Linked DNA regions of Drosophila melanogaster. The protein of the gene in region 1 interacts with the protein of each later gene in a pairwise test. Each region holds a gene or a part of one and is shown in the gene's direction. Other genes may lie near its edges.

Region 1 (6,100 bases):
CAGTCCGCCCATGGTATCTAGTTTCATTTCATCTGCGAGTACAGATACTTTCAGGCGGACGAGAGGTTCAAGTGGGGTTACGTCAAGGTGCATGAGACTAGAAATGAGACTTAGGACAGTCACTTACTGATTGCTGATATGATTACTTAATCATAAATAAATTGGTATAAACAAAAACTATTATCATGTCATTGTTTTTAAATACAAATGCCTTATAAAGTTAAATTGAGAATACAAGAAATGTAGTTATATTTTTTTTATAGGGGATTCCCGAACAAGCATTTGTAATTTTTTCCCCATAGATAGTAGTTGGAGATTATTTCGGATTTTGAAAAGATAAGGAGATCGTTTAAAAGTATATAACAAATATATATATATAAAAGTAAAAACTATCGATGTCCCGTCACGACGAATCGATAGTACCAGGACCATCGCTGTTTTCCGCCAGCACTAGTAACCTCTCATCCCTAAGTATTGTTTTTTTACTTTTATGAGCATCTAATTGTACCGACTTAAGTAAAATAATTAATTAAACAAAACCTAACTGAAACGTGGGAACAATGGTGAATGACTCTGGTCTATCGACAGTGGACGACTTGGAGCAAAAACTGAATTCGGCCAAGCAGTCGCTGGTGATCCTAAATGAAAACATTCGCCGCATTGCTGGTCGCGTCCCCAAGGAATCCCTGCAGAGGTATGAATCCAAGTTGTGCTTAATTTAATTAATTACTTAATGCCGCTGCATTTCAGATCGGAAAAATTCAAATACACCCAAGATGGCAAGAAGAACGAGCACAATGGGGACCGACCGTTCCCCCGAAATGCAACACCCGGTGGGGTCTTCAAAGACAAGCGGCGAATGTACGAAAGCAAGAATCCAATTTCCCGTTTCCCAATCGAAGAAAACGAGGGTCGTCCGCCACGGATTAACTCGCGGGTCATCCGGGAGATGCCAACTAAAAAGGAGATTGTCGAGGCACAGGGCACAGACTCTGAGTCGAGGGCCAGGAATCGCAGGATGTTCGGATCGCTGTTGGGAACCCTACAGAAGTTCTGTCAGGAGGAATCGCGACTGAAGAGCAAGGAGGATAAAAAGGCTGAGATCGATAGGAAGGTGGAAAAGCAGGAACTGCAGGAAAGAGCGATGCTGAGGAAACAGCGTGAAACACTATTCTTAGATAGGAAAAAAAAGCAATTCGAGATCCGTAGATTAGAGTACAAAATGGCCAGAATGAAGGACTTCAAGGTCTGGGAAGCAACTATGTTGAATGCGAAAAATAACATCCGAACAAAAACGAAACCACATCTGTTCTTTAGGCCAAAAGTGCATTCGCCTAGAACGGAAAAATTGTTGAGCAAAAGCAAAAGTGAAGCTGATGTGTTTATAGAATTCCGGCGCGAAGAATTGGAAGTTGAGCTTAAAAACTTGGAGAACATGAACTTTGGGAAGATGGAAGACGATACTGCAATAGACGAAAGTTTCTATGAAGAGCCTGACGACGAAGAGCAGTTGGATAAGTGTAAGTAAACTTCAGTTTGCACTAGGGCTTGAAATATGATCGTGCGGATATCGCTGTGTAGGGCAATTGGGTTTCAATTTATAAAACTTATTTATGAAACTTTAATTTATAATACAAAAACCAGATCTTAAGCAAATAAATTACAATGCGGTGATTACATTTAAAAGTTATATCGTATTTATCAACTCAAATACCTTTGTTTCAATGTTCTACTTCCTGTTTTTATTGCAGCTTTATTATACGTTAAGTAAAGTACCCAAAAGTAAATGATGCTATTCTAGGAATAAAGGATTACAACTAATGCAATTTAACAAATTATTTGCAAAAGCAATTGTTTTACTTCACCGAATGAAGGGGTGTTTAAGAACATCAATTTGTGGACAAAACCAGTTATTCTTTATTGCCATTATTTATGTCCTACTAGAAATAAAACTTGGAAAAAAAAAATTGTTTACTGCAAGCAAGCTATATTTGTATCTTTCAAAAGAATTTGTAAAATTGTAAATAAAACTAAAAAATATTTTACACGCAAGATATTGGATCGCGAAATAGGAACATTAAATACCTAATTATGTATTTATAGATATAATCATCCTGAAGCTAAATCACATATTTTATTCTCGCTTCCAAATTGTTTGAGGAAGTAACTAATTTAAAATGAGGCGTTAAAACAATTATAATTCTTTAAGCGATAAGTTAAGAACTCTTATAAGATAATTATACCTTCTTCGCCGTCTATTAACATTATTAATTAAGACCAGTAGTCAGAAGCAATTAATGAAAAAATAATATGTTAACCTCTGATTCTTGTACTGTATTCGTGTAAAAAAAGAACATTGTTTTTCTGAAAATAAAATGAGAGCATTGACATCCGCCATATACAGTAGAAAAATACAAATTTGATGAATACGATTGTTATACACGTACATTTTATTGAAATTTAGGTGATTTGAAGTGGAACCGAATTTTTGTATTTATCCGTAGAATGTATGAATCATTGTTCTTTACGTCGATGTATTCTGAAGACTTTGGCATTGGAAGCTTTGGATGTAATTTGCTAGGGATGGGTTCCCAACACGACCGCTCACTGGTCAGATCCTTCGGCGATGCTTCGCAGTATCCAATCGGAGAAGCTACTCACCAGGGTGTAGACCCCCGGAATGGTGGTCACGCCGCACAGCGTCGGTCCAAAGGCCACGATGCCGATGATCGTATAACGTCCACTTGTTCCAAAGACGCCGGAGGTACCGTCGTCCATAAAGGGGCCGCCACTATCGCCTCGGCACACGTCATTCATGGGCATTCCCTGGGCGCACAGGTGGTTGGGAGTAATCACAATAGGCTGCTGGAAGTTCTCACTGAGACTGGCATAGGCGATGGCGCAACTGGTGGTGTTCACGATGGGCAAACGGATGAAGCGCACCCCAGCGGTGGAGTTTGAGGGGTCCATCGAACTATTATCTGGATAAAATTTGTAGTAGAGAATGTTATATACATTTAAAACCTAATATGCACTGAATTATATTTCGATCGCATTGATAGTAAGTTAAAAAATGTAACAGATCAGATATAAAGTTGTTTCGAGACTAACTTTCAGTACTCCCAATACTCCAACCAGCAGCCACTCCAATTTGTCCTATCAGCCTGTTTCCCAGTGTGATTGGCCCGTTGAAGGGTAAGCATATGGGTGTGAAAGTGCCTGCAAGGTTGGTGGTGGTTATTCAGCGTAATCATTGACCTAGGATAGGAGTATAATCTCTTACCATTAGTGCTGTTGATTCGTAGGAGGGCAATGTCATTTGCATACTTGGGCTGGTCGTAGTTCGGATGAACTATAACCTGCTCGATGGCAAACGGAGTCGCCCCATCCTGACTTCCCAATCGAACATGGGACCTACGAAAGAGCGTGGATTACAAAAGATTTAATTAGGCTTTAGACTTACAGTTCCAAATCGCTGACTAGGTTGACCACACAGTGGGCGGCAGTTACGATGTGGTTGCTGGATATCAGGGATCCGGAGCAGCGAAAGCTAATGCGGCTGCTGCCTGAAAATATTATCGTAAAACTTCTGTAAGAATAAAGATTTTTTCTTGTTTTCAGCTCAACATGTGCGCTTGCCCTTGTTCAGGAAGAAGTCTACCACCTCAGAGCAACAACCCTGATTCTTGCCCAGCTCCTGGCTCACGGGGCGGTCCAGGTGCTGGTGGAGGTGCCCCTGGTGCCGGTGGAGGCGGCCCAGGTGGTCGTGGAGGGGGCCCGCCCCAAAAGCGTGGAACGTGTGGCCCCAAACCTTGCGGCGGACAGCAGTGCAATAAATGCGGTAAGGGAGGCCCTGGAGGAAGAGGTGGCCCTGGAGGAAAAGGTGGTGGCCCTGGAGGAAGAAATGGCCCTGGAGGTAGTGGTGGTCCCGGAGGCAGAAATGCTCCCAATGGCGGTGGTGGAGGCGGAGGAGGACCTTTTGGGCTGAGTGCCCCACCAAACAATCGCGGACCCAAGGCTCTGGGACTGGCTGCTCTGCTCTTTGCCGTCGGCGTCTACCTTACATTAAAAATGGTTATTGTGGCCAGTGAAATTGGATGAGCGCAGACAGGACGGCATTGGGCCCGGCTCAGATCTCCAATGCGGAGTAAGTTTAAGAGCATTTAAGAGGCGTTGCGTTGGGTAAAATAAATTCGAAATTGCGTATTTAGCCTAACATAAGATGTACTTACTTCGGTTGCGATAAGCGATCCTTGTCAGCCAGGGAAACTGTCCGGCACTAGCCTGATCTCCTCCCAGCAGTCGGCTCTCTACATTTATCCCACATCCTTGGGTGTTCTCCTGTGCGAAAGGTGGCATCGATGCGGTTGTTGTGGATAAAGAAGCAGGAATTGTTTCAATTGGTGTAGCTAATGTTGTGGTAAACGGCGCCAGGGGCGGACCTTGATCTATGTTGGAGTCAATTGCCTCCTCTCCCTGCCGCTGGAAGCGTAGGTCCCCGGGAAATACTATGGGCTTATCCTTTGGCACGGGTCGCAGTAATGTATCCCGTTCTTCGTGCTCCACATGATACAGAAAGTGGTGTCCCAAGGCGAACCGTCGGTCGAAGAACTCTGGTTCCACGGGCTGGGGACAATTGCGTTGTTCCTCGAAGTTCCAGTAGTCATGCAGATTGGTCTCCGCTTCCAGATAATCCCCGTGTGTGTGGGAGTGCCGGCTGCCCTTGTCACTATCCGCACCATCCCAAATCCAACGATCATTCGGCGGAGCAAAGCGCATCTTGCGACTTGCTTTGACGAAGGATGACTCATCGTGGTATTGTTTGCGAGAATTCGGACAACAGACGAGCGGCTCGAGGCCTTGGAAGCCACAACTGGCGCTGTGCACCTTGGCGAACACAGCGGACTGTTCTCCGGGTCCGTGGTGAAGTAGAAGGCGTGCAAAGGGGGCACACTTCCCAAGGCGGATGCAGTGGCAGGCGGAGGCTTTGCGATCCCCTGAAAGTATAACGGATGACCAGGCTGGATGACAAGGCATGAAATCACTTCTCGAAGGTCAATGTCGGCACAGCAATCACGAACCAGAAAATCAGCAAACCAGAAGTGCCCACGGCAATTACTCACTTTTTTGGTTCGGCATTCGCCGTCATTCGTGCGGTTTATTGCCCTTCGCTGGGAATTTCTAGACTAAGACCTTGACCCACTAAGAGGGCTGGTCTTTAATTACCCCCTACCGTCGCACGTTTGTGTCTTGAGTCATTGCTTTATTAGGGATCCCCGGGATACGAGTACTTACCACTCAAACACAGGATGCAGAATAAGAGTGAGACGATTTTTAGGCGCCGCATTTCGAACGATACAAGTCAAGAAATTGGGAAACCAGTAACACAACGTCGCCCGACCAAGTGCGAAATTGAAATAAATTGGTTCAATCTCCGAGCCAGCATGCATATCTTACTTCCACGCTTCCAGCTCTATTCAGATTTCGATTTTCGCGACGACGAATCAAAACAAAAAGAGAGCTCGAAAAAACCAATTATCAGGCCGTAAACTCGGTTTGGGCCACAGCCGTAAACCAGCAGCAACATCAGACGAAGAGAACCAACAATGACGGCTAGCAAAATAACCGATTGTCATCCAGAACAGATCAATACAAAACATGTTTTGCTGGCCGGCCACTCTAAACTTGAAACTGAGGAATAGTAACAGGACACCGTTTAGAATGTGGAACTCTCTTTCGTATGTATATTATTGACGCTTACTTTAAAGTTTATGCTCTTAAGTTAGGCGATGAAATGAACGTGGCTAAGGGCTACAGAGTGCGAACAAAGTCTTTTTAGTCGGCCTAGCCCAGAAGTGGGCTCGGGCCCAGAGATTGGCTTACGTAACTAGAAATGCATCGCGTGGAATGTCGAGTTGCCGATGATGTACAACTAAAATACTTAACTACTCATTAGGCATTTTTTATAGTCGATCTGGTTTGTCTTTAACGATCGTTCCTGGCCTAAGCCACGGGGGGAACTTCTGGAGAAGCCACGGTGACTGTAACGCTATTCTCGACCTGTTCTACAGGTTCAACAATCGGCTGGGGAGTGGGGGAT
Region 2 (5,360 bases), about 20 Mb from region 1:
TTTTTAATCTATAGATACGCCAGAATCCCCCTTAAAATAATGGCCGCTCTGGCCACCGTGTATGTGAGCATTCTTTCCTCGGAGCGGTACTTCTACTACTGGGTGCAGACCTCCATCGAAAGGACTGACATGCATGTATCCGAGATCGATTTCCCAGCCGTGACCATCATTCCGATCAATTTGAGCATCCTGAAAGCCGAGAAGCTCTCCAAGGCCTATAACTTGGTTCAGTCCGTGGTCTGGCAAACACCGATGTCCGCCCGCCTCACGGATGAGAACTTCACGGAGTTCTCCGAACTGGAAAACTGGAACGCGCAGAGCTGGGGAATCTACCAGGCGCTGCAGATGAACTGCCAGCACTTCTTCACCGAGTGCCAGTGGCGTCGCAAGGCGATGAACTGCTGTGACCTATTCCGACCCACCAAGACCTTCAATGGCTTCGCCTTCGAGTTCAACTCACTGGTCTCCTCGGGAAGAGATGAAACGTGGCCCTGGTCCGTGGCTTCATGCGGATCATATAGCGGACTCAATGTGAAGATCAAACGGCAGCAGGGTCTGTATACGTTGAATACAATGGGGGTGAGTCCGATAAGACATATGTACATAGATAGTGCGTCATGACATGGAGTAATTACCACACCAGGTGATAGTGCACGAACCGACCCAGTTGCTGGGCATGAGCATTGACTATTCCTCAGAGGATCGCATCGTGGTTCCGGTGGAACCACTTCATTTCACAGCCGAGTTGGATGTCCGGGCACGTCCCGTTCAAATGCGTCGTTGTTACTTTGAGGTCGGTTTCCTTAGCCAAATATATACTAGCTCTTAAACTTAATTTTACCTTAGAATGAGATACCAACGGGAAAGTCCCGGTCGGAGTGCATCTACAAGTGCCACGTCAACTACATCATCAGCAAGTGCAACTGCTCCTTGGAACTGCCGGTGAAGGCCACTCAAGATGAGGACAACATTGCGGCTGCAAAGGAAAGCAACGGACGTAGAATTTGCGGTGTGAAGGATCTGGCCTGCTTCAATCAGCACCGACGTGGGTCTAATTCTAAACTTAAATCATATATATATGATATATATGTACTGAATTCCGCTTAGTTTCCCTCTTTTCCATGAGCAACATCATCGAAGAGTCCCGTGATAATGTGTTCTCCACCGTGGATTGCGGTTGCTTTCCTCAGTGCGGTCACACCCAGTACCACACGTCAACCTACACGGAGAAGATGAGCGCCCACACCAACCTTGCCGCAGCGATCGAGATAGATGTGTACTTCCAGGAGGAGACCCTCTTCTCTTACCGCTCCATGCTCCGCTTCACGCTGATCGACTTAATGGGTGAGTTTGGGATCAATCACAGCTGCGATGACATGTACCCCCTACCCTTCACTTGTAGTTTCCTATGGAGGAATAGCCGGTTTGATCATGGGCATCTCGGTGCTAGGTTGCATCAACGAACTCTTGGATCGCTTCGCCTGTTGTCGCATACCCCATGGCTCCTAGGCCCAAGCTGGCACCATGAAGTACCAGCCATCGGCAGCTGGGTTCTCACGTTCCCACACTTACCTGTAACCGAAGCACACACAAATGCACCACTCACCTGGTTCTTGGGATGCGCACATAAACAAATCCAGAAAATAAAACGCATTCGGAGAGCTACCTGCATGGCAGTGGAAAATTTTCAGGTGCAGCTCCAACCAGACATAACAAAACTGTAGGCTTTCTTCAGAAAAAGAAATTGAATAAGAATATTGTTTTTAAGTCCCAGAAATCCATTTTCAATTTAGAAGTCTGTTTTTGTAACTTGAAACATTGAGTAAATAAATTCCTTATAGAGCACATACTTATATATGCCTTCAATAAAATGCCGAAAATAAATGTAATTGCAAGTATTTTTAATTTTCTGCACAGCGACTGTATTTTTTGCAGTGCACCCAAATATGCTGCGTTTGCTAAACGTGGGTATTAATCTGTTTTCAGCAACAACAAAAATAAGCGCGCCAATTTGCCAAAGATTAAAGGGGAGCTGTCTTATCAGCGACTGAGCCCATGGAGGTTATTAGAAGGCATCCATCCAGATTCCAGATTCTTTGTTGTCCACTTGTGCCCCCAAGCATAAAAGCCCATCACAAAAGAATCAGATGCCCAGCTTGGAGTTGAGCATAAAAATAAACTGGGGATCTACAAGCATAATCGCGCCTTGGAGACCCCTCAGGTACCAAGTCCATTCCCGAACTCAAATCGGATCCCTCGCTCTCGTATAAATAGGGGCTGCCTGGCCCTATTTCAAAACAGTCTTCGCTCGATCGCTGGAGGAATACATACATAGGTGGAAAGAAAGTGAAAATGAAGGTTTTCGTTGCCATCTGCGTGCTGATTGGACTGGTGAGTGCTCGATACAGATAAACGGCGACCAGGACCAGAATAATTCAACGCCTTCCCTTGGGTTATAGGCCTCCGCCGACTATGTGGTGAAGAACCGACACGACATGCTGGCCTACCGCGATGAGTGCGTCAAGGAGCTGGCCGTGCCCGTGGATCTGGTGGAGAAGTACCAGAAGTGGGAGTACCCCAACGACGCCAAGACCCAGTGCTACATCAAGTGCGTCTTCACCAAGTGGGGCCTGTTCGACGTCCAGAGCGGTTTCAACGTGGAGAACATCCACCAACAGCTGGTGGGCAACCACGCTGACCACAACGAGGCCTTCCACGCCTCCTTGGCCGCCTGCGTGGACAAGAACGAGCAGGGATCCAATGCCTGCGAGTGGGCCTACCGCGGAGCCACCTGTCTGCTGAAGGAGAACCTGGCCCAGATCCAGAAGAGCCTGGCCCCGAAGGCCTAGTGGCTTAGGTCCTAGTTGGACGGATGTAACGATAAGCATTAGTTTAGTTAATAAAGTAATTGATTTCCCATACAAGTTCGAGCATTCCTTCTCGATTCAGTGGGGAAAAACAGAATGTAGATATTTCTTCTTCAATGGGGGCCTCAATTTACTTATTAACAACTCCGAGTAGCAATTACATTGAGGATATGCTTTTAGGCAGCCAAACTAAACTAAAACTTTGGCCAACTACTTCCATTCGTCATGTTGCTGTACACCAAGGAACTTGTGATTCCGCGGCCGAGACCAGGACTACTGCGCTTCAGGAACAATCCGCGTGGTATTAAGTTTCGGGAAAAACTGTGCAACTCCTTTGCCCACTCCAACATCCATGGGATGCAGCACGTCTTCGGGGAGCAGCATCTCTGGCAGCGCTGCCTGTGGCTCGCCATCGTCCTGGGAGCGGTGATCACAGGATTCAGTCTGTACACCGTGCTGATGCATCGCCACAGCGAGCAGCTCCTGGTCAGCCTGATAGAGACCACCCAGTTGCCAGTGTACCACATCGACTTTCCAGCTGTGGCCGTTTGCCCCTGGAATCATTTCAACTGGCAGAGGGCTCCGTCGGCATTTATCCGCTTTCTGCCACGTCATCCGAATGCCGAGCTCCGGGAAACATTTCGCCAGCTACTCGCCAGTATGGACATTATGAACTTCTCCAACTTTAACCGGATACGGATTCTGACCAAACGAAATCTGACGGGAATTAGTTATCTAAAAATGACGGACCTGATGAACTTCATGACCTATAGATGCGATGAACTCTTCGTCGCCGATTCCTGCGTCTTCGATGAGACTCCCTACGACTGCTGCAAACTTTTCGTACGGGAGCAGACGGTGAAGGGCCAGTGCTTGGTCTTCAACTCCATGATTTCGGAGAACTCGCGCAAAAAGCACCTGATTAACCAGTTCTATCCCCACAAGCTGAGCACCGCTGGCGAGGATTCGGGCCTGAAGTTCACGATCAATGCAAGCTACTCCTTTATGAACAACATAGACGCTCTGACTCCATTTGGAATGAATGTAAGTCCCTTAGTTGCGTCACAGTTTGCTCATATTTTGTTTAATTTTATTTTTTGGTTACTAAGCTCATGATTAAGGAACCACGCCAGTGGTCCAATGAAATGATGTACCACCTGTACCCGGATACGGAGAACTTTGTTGCTGTGCATCCGCTGGTCACGGAAACCTCTCCAAATACCTATGAAATGAGTCCCAAAAAAAGACGTTGCTACTTTGATGTGTGTATAGCTTGCAACTAATAGGAAAAGATAATCATAATAATAATTCCTTACTCCATAGGATGAAAAGAACCCTACCTTCCAGAACACTTCGTTGACTTATAACCGCGAAAACTGCCTGGTGGTGTGCCTCCACTTAGTTGTGTGGAAGACCTGCCAGTGCTCGCTGCCAGCTTTTCTGCCTCCCATTGGTAATTATCGTAATTATTCTATTACATTTTAAATTTTTTTTTTTTTTAGATGGAGTTCCGGAATGTGGAATCAACGATGCACAATGCTTGGGCAACAATTCCGATATATTCACTTACGTGAAGATGGGTGATCAGGAGAAATACATTAACGACTCACGACAGGGTCACTTTTGTGATTGCCCAGACAATTGCAATTCACGGCTGTACGAAATGTCACTTAATGTGCGCAAATTGGATTAGTAAGTTCAATGTATATATTCTTAAAGAACAGATAATTAAATTCCCCTCTCTTTTAGCCCAAAAAACTCGACAGATCAATTGATAAAAGCCCAGGTTTATTATGGCCAACGTGTCATGACCAAAATCATTACGAAACTCAAGTACACCAATATAGATTTACTGGCCAACTTTGGCGGGATCATAAGTCTGTATATAGGGGCCTCCGTCATGAGTTTTATAGAGCTTTTATTTGTGCTGGGAAAACTGATGTGGGGTTTCATCAGAGATGCGCGCATAAAATTGAAAGAGTATACTAAGTAGCTTACTTTAAAAAATGATGTAAAACTTTGCCGTAAACAAGTATATATAACATTATTTCTGTTTAGTTTCCTGGTCCGTGGGATAGCGTATATAGATAGCCGGATGTGGCACTGTAGCCGGCGTCTCTGGCAGTTGGTCCAAGTAGGAGCAGCCGATGGCCAGGGCGCTGCCATCGGAGCTGAAGTTGAGCGTGGATATGGAGGTATCGTATTCGTGGAACTGACAAAGGCGCTTCTTGTTGAAGCCATCCCAAATGTTCACAATGCCATCGGATCCGCCAGTGGCGAACGTCTGATAGACATTGTGGAAACTCAAGGCATTAACGGGGTAGATCTGTTCGATATTCTGCTCCCTATTCCGGTGGCACTTGAAAGCGAACTTGCGGCGCTGCACCTCAGGATCGTGATCCAGGTACTCCACTGCCACCCGTCCCTCGATGGAGGACATCACGTAGCCTTCTTTGTTGGGGAATAGACGAATGCAGCGGGTCTGGTACTTGA
Region 3 (4,593 bases), on another chromosome or scaffold:
AAAGACTAACTAATAATAGTTGTATTCTAGGGCGGGTCGATTTGTTTCGATTGTTCCGTAAAAAGAAGCTAGAAACTGTAAGCAAATTGGTCGTGGAAGTTGTAGGTTGGGCAATCAAACAATCAAAATATTCTCTAAACAATACTGCACTTTTCTTTGGACTTTGCGGTGCTTAACATTTGCTCAAGTTCCAAAAACTCACATTTTTAATTTGAATTAAATAATTGATTTTAGATCATACTTTTAACAATTTAAAATCGAACCACCCTTAGAGTAGCTTACAACTATAACGTAATATGGGAATTTTAGCCACGATTCGGAGAAGTAATCCAAACAATTTTGAACCGTTTAACATCCTACTACTATACAATATTCAATTATTGTACTCTGAATCCAAGGACAAACTATTGCTCCATGGGACACGCCGACGGCATGACGTTGTTATTGCTCGGACCCATGTAGAGCATACCGAACCGTTTCTGCTGCGGCGGGCAGACGACGGGAGCAGGAGCTGGAACCTCGCAGCGCTCCTTGAAGTAGTGGACGATGCGATGAAGGACGAACGCGAGGATCTTCTCTTTGGCGATCTCGCCATTGAGGAATGTAATGTCCTTGCAGTCGCGGTACTCGCTGAAGTTCTTTTCGTAGTGCGGCCACACACAGAGCTCGAAGTAGCCCGTGACATCGGGTGGATCGTATGTGCGCTTACTGCGCCGTTCGAAGCACTTCTCATATGGCAGATGGAAGTGGTACTTAATGTTGCACAGGGCCAGCAGCTCCGGCTGGTTGAAGATCATGAATCCCTCGACCAGGAGGAAATTGACCTTCTTGTCCCTCAGCTGGGCGGCAATCTGCGCATTGATGCTCATAATGTGCTGCTGCTGCTGCTGGATTTGATGGTGCTGGTGGTGGTGCTGCTGGTGATGGGGGTGATGTCTCGGGTGCTGCTGTGGCGGATATTGATAGACCCCGCCATTGGCCTGTTTGTAGTAGTTCGCATTGTACTGGTACTGCTGCTGGAACTGCTGGGCGTAGTGCTCGAAGTTGGCATACGTCACAAGGTGCTCCTGTGGCTCGGGAGCCACATGGCGCCCCTTGATTATGTGCGCTATGTCGTTCAGCATCTTGGCCATGTCCAGCGAGGTGATGAGCTCGAAGTTGATGGCGTTGAGCGCCTCATTTCGCTGATGTCGCTTGTCCTCCACGGGCAGAAAGTAGTCATCCTGCGAGATCAGACGCACCTCGCCAATGGTGTACGGCGAGTTCCACAGCGGCGCTCCTCTCAGACCCTTGAAGTAGTCGTGCAGGCTGTGGGCTAGCGTAGTTTTGCCACCACAGGTGACTCCCGAGATACCAATGACCAGCCACTGCGGCATCTTGTCCACGACTGACTATCGCTCTTCCTTGTTTTTCAGTGGAATCGTACGTTCGCGTTCGCACCGAGCAAGATAACCCCCCGGATAACCCCCTTAATCACGTTTCACTCTCAGGCTCCAGATGTGGTAAAAGGAGAACGCGGCGATGCCGCCGAGGAAGATCACCCCGAACACGGTGGGCACAATGAAAGCGTACTTCAGCGGTGGAAAGAACAGCCGAATGGGATTGCCTGTAAAAGTTTGTAAAGTATACTCATGTTCACAAGTGTTTCATTTGATAACAGGCCAGGAAAGAAAATACGTAAGTATATTGTTTTTATGATTACTCTTAATAGCAACAAATTAAAATTGTCACGGAACGGCAAAACTACGATCATGAAATATTTACGTATAAAGTGAAGAGCCAATATCCAGGCGGAAAAACTACCGAAAATAATTAGCTAAGTACACACCCAGATTTGGAACCACATAATACAGTGGTACCACTGGTTAAGCACGTTTTCGTTTTTATCGCTGATTGTACATGCCTAGACTCTACAATAGCTAACTAGTTTGACTGTGCACATATCGGGCGAATACTGTACTCCTATCATCACTAGTCGTCGGTGACCTTGACCCGAGCTTAGAGCATCGTACAGCCGCATTCCAGGTAACCCGTGTTAGGGTGGTCACCTCTGTAAAACACACGGGTTCATCCTCGTACACTGCCAACTATATATAATTGAACATCGTGACCAATTTACGCCGCGGCGTCACTTTAATTACTATACAAAAGCGCGAGATTATTCAATAAAACTTATGTATTAGCGGGTGAATAACGGAAGCCGTGGAAAACTCACCTTCATCGATGAGCATAAACGGGAGGACGGCCACCCAAAAGAAGTAATAGAAGAACACGGCGATTGCAGATATCAAAATGATTTTCCCGAGTTGCGCATTCGAAGCCATAAATAGCTATTCTCGGAAATTCTGGGGTTTCTCTGGCGAGAGAACACGCGACCGGCGATTTGTTTGTAAAACTGCTCATGGGGCGTTCTCCCCGGACGGACTGCTTCACTGTCCACTGATCGTTTACCCGCCGCACGAATCCCTAATGTTTTTTCGTAGCTGCCGATTTACTTTCGTGGCGTAATTGTAAACAAAACAAACAAGTGCGTCAAAAAATTTCCGAATTCAAGGTAGTGGTGGTTCAACCACTCGAACAAGTATCGATAGCTCGAGTAACTGTTTTGCGCAACACCAGCGGATGTTCTTATCGATGTAGGCGAGTCACTTCTGCTTGGGGATAATTTTCAGAATAAGATTTGTATATTATTAGCTTGCTGTAAAACCCCTTGTTTAGATAATGAACAGTTTATTAATATTTCAAATTAAACTATCATCATCGATATTTCAAGTGAAACATGCATCACTATGACAGTGTGACCAGCACTTACTTTCAATACTTTTCAGTGGATAAAACAATATCGATATGTCGATAGTAACTGATACTATCGAACGCTGATAACCCAGCACTAATAGAATTGTAAACAAACAATTTTTAAATTTAAGAATGGTAAAAAATGGGCAATCGAAACGGCAGCCATGGGTGAAGAACCTGTACTCCAACCGGGAATATCCGGACAACTACACGGATGCCAGCTTTCTGAAGGATCTGCGCACGAATCTACATTGTAGAATATACACGTTCGGCGAAGCAATTGCCGGTATTACAGTGCTTAATAATCAGATCTCCTGCATCACCGGCTTCCTAATACTCTACCAACTTATGCTCAGCGACAGCGTGTCGCCCACCACGATCCTGGTACCCAGTTGCGGGATCACAGGCATTGGATACCTGTGCTACCGAGGAAGGAGTCTCAGCTGGGCCCTGCTGGGCGAGGATTCCAAAACCCTGGTCACAGTGGTCCTCTTCGGCTACTTATTCTCACCGATGCTGCACACCCTAACGCAGGCCATCAGCACGGACACCATATACACAATGACCTTCTTTGTCCTTCTGGGCAACCTGATATTTGGACACTATGGATTGGATGTAGCCATGGTCTCTAAGGTAGGCAATATTTACGGCTATTGGTGTTGATTGTATATTGATCTTGACTCCACCTCAGAATCCTATATAATACAAATACTTCTTGTTCCATGTTAAGCGCAGGCCGTCTCGTTGAATGCCGCCATATTTGGAGCAATTTGCTTAGCCTCCCGCCTGCCGACTTCGTATCACGCCTTCGTGCTCCTTGTCGAGGCTGCCGTCTTTTTCGTCCTTTATCCCATAATGACGGAAGCGAATTGGCATGCTGGATTCATGTTGCCTATATTTGCAATATGCTGTATGGCGCTGTACTGTATATCGCGCCCGGTGCTCTATCTCTACGCCTCCACCACCATTTTCATCAACTTTGTCTGCCCGTTCATATTCGTGTGGCAGCAGCAGTACAAGTTCAACATTCACGGGCCCTGGGACGAGGCCATCGTGGAGGAGAACACCGAGGAGAACCTGGATGGGAACTTATAGCGCCAGCTGCGCTTCTCAGAACAGTTGCCGCCACGACTGGGTAGCGGCGACGTCGAGGAGCACTTCACTGATCGCTAAACCATTGCACGCTTATTTTTATAACTTTGTAAACTCATTCCAAGCCATTGATGTTAATCTTTTGTATCATGTTATATCTGTTAGTTTGTAAGTAGCGTTTTAATAAATTATACTTTTTGTGTTTAAAACCATAGCACTTTTAAATTTGTGTAATTTTTAGGGGACTTTCTTTTGGTCCTATGAATGGCTTTTTAAATAAATTGTTATCAACTTAAGGCAAAGGTTTTTCAATTGAAAGATAATGGAGTTAAATTAACAGGGTGAGTTTTTTGGCTTGGTTGTGTTTTACTCAGACTAAAAATAAATTTAGTTAAAGATTATTTATCGTCAGCGACTAAAACCCGTTTCGTAGATAACAATTAAACATTCGCATGAGCATACATTGAATATATTTGACCCTATCTAACGCAAATAAATTGAAGCAATTGCTTTAATAATAGACTATGGAATATGGATGAGTGACATCTGTATTAAGTGCACGCCCTTGGGTTTCCCAGAAGTTCCTAGTCTAACCAGAGATTTAATTATTTTAGTATTCTGCGTTTTACCTATCTATGTAATGCATGCTGTCCTGCAAGCTACTTCCACAGTTTCAGTAAGCATTCTTGAGAGATAAATAATCCA

What was found. The genes of interacting proteins can lie anywhere in the genome.
Region 2: the proteins of CG31415 (region 1) and ppk19 interact in a two-hybrid assay, tested with the Drosophila melanogaster proteins (one large-scale study listed by BioGRID).
Region 3: the proteins of CG31415 (region 1) and PIG-C interact in a two-hybrid assay, tested with the Drosophila melanogaster proteins (one large-scale study listed by BioGRID).

What each region holds. Positions count from the first base shown.
Region 1 is NT_033777.3:9,740,449-9,746,548, forward strand, and holds CG31415 (uncharacterized protein), read left to right. Parts: upstream 1-3,068; 5' UTR 3,069-3,111; coding exon of another isoform or gene 3,112-3,219; intron 3,220-3,283; coding exon of another isoform or gene 3,284-3,414; intron 3,415-3,463; coding exon of another isoform or gene 3,464-3,566; intron 3,567-3,621; 5' UTR 3,622-3,627; coding exon 3,628-4,101; 3' UTR 4,102-4,214; downstream 4,215-6,100. Other genes in the region: Pnn (pinin), read left to right, coding at 561-694, 751-1,520, 1,752-1,771; CG34409 (uncharacterized protein), read right to left, coding at 2,605-2,981, 3,112-3,219, 3,284-3,414, 3,464-3,566, 4,233-4,997, 5,296-5,347; CG12948 (uncharacterized protein), read right to left, coding at 6,004-6,100.
Region 2 is NT_033777.3:29,669,364-29,674,723, forward strand, and holds ppk19 (pickpocket 19), read left to right. Parts: upstream 1-3,092; coding exon 3,093-3,911; intron 3,912-3,976; coding exon 3,977-4,129; intron 4,130-4,190; coding exon 4,191-4,320; intron 4,321-4,369; coding exon 4,370-4,559; intron 4,560-4,616; coding exon 4,617-4,860; downstream 4,861-5,360. Other genes in the region: ppk30 (pickpocket 30), read left to right, coding at 15-579, 644-793, 847-1,045, 1,108-1,344, 1,403-1,509; Obp99a (Odorant-binding protein 99a), read left to right, coding at 2,353-2,391, 2,460-2,849; Bub3, read right to left, coding at 4,912-5,360. UniProt on the Drosophila melanogaster protein: Part of a complex that plays a role in tracheal liquid clearance. In both larvae and adults, contributes to the behavioral response to salt. Probable role in sodium transport.
Region 3 is NT_037436.4:3,317,528-3,322,120, reverse strand, and holds PIG-C (phosphatidylinositol glycan anchor biosynthesis class C), read left to right. Parts: upstream 1-2,888; 5' UTR 2,889-2,928; coding exon 2,929-3,429; intron 3,430-3,531; coding exon 3,532-3,891; coding exon of another isoform or gene 3,892-3,969; 3' UTR 3,970-4,093; downstream 4,094-4,593. Other genes in the region: CG12016 (uncharacterized protein), read right to left, coding at 405-1,376; Dpm2 (Dolichyl-phosphate mannosyltransferase subunit 2), read right to left, coding at 1,470-1,606, 2,216-2,324.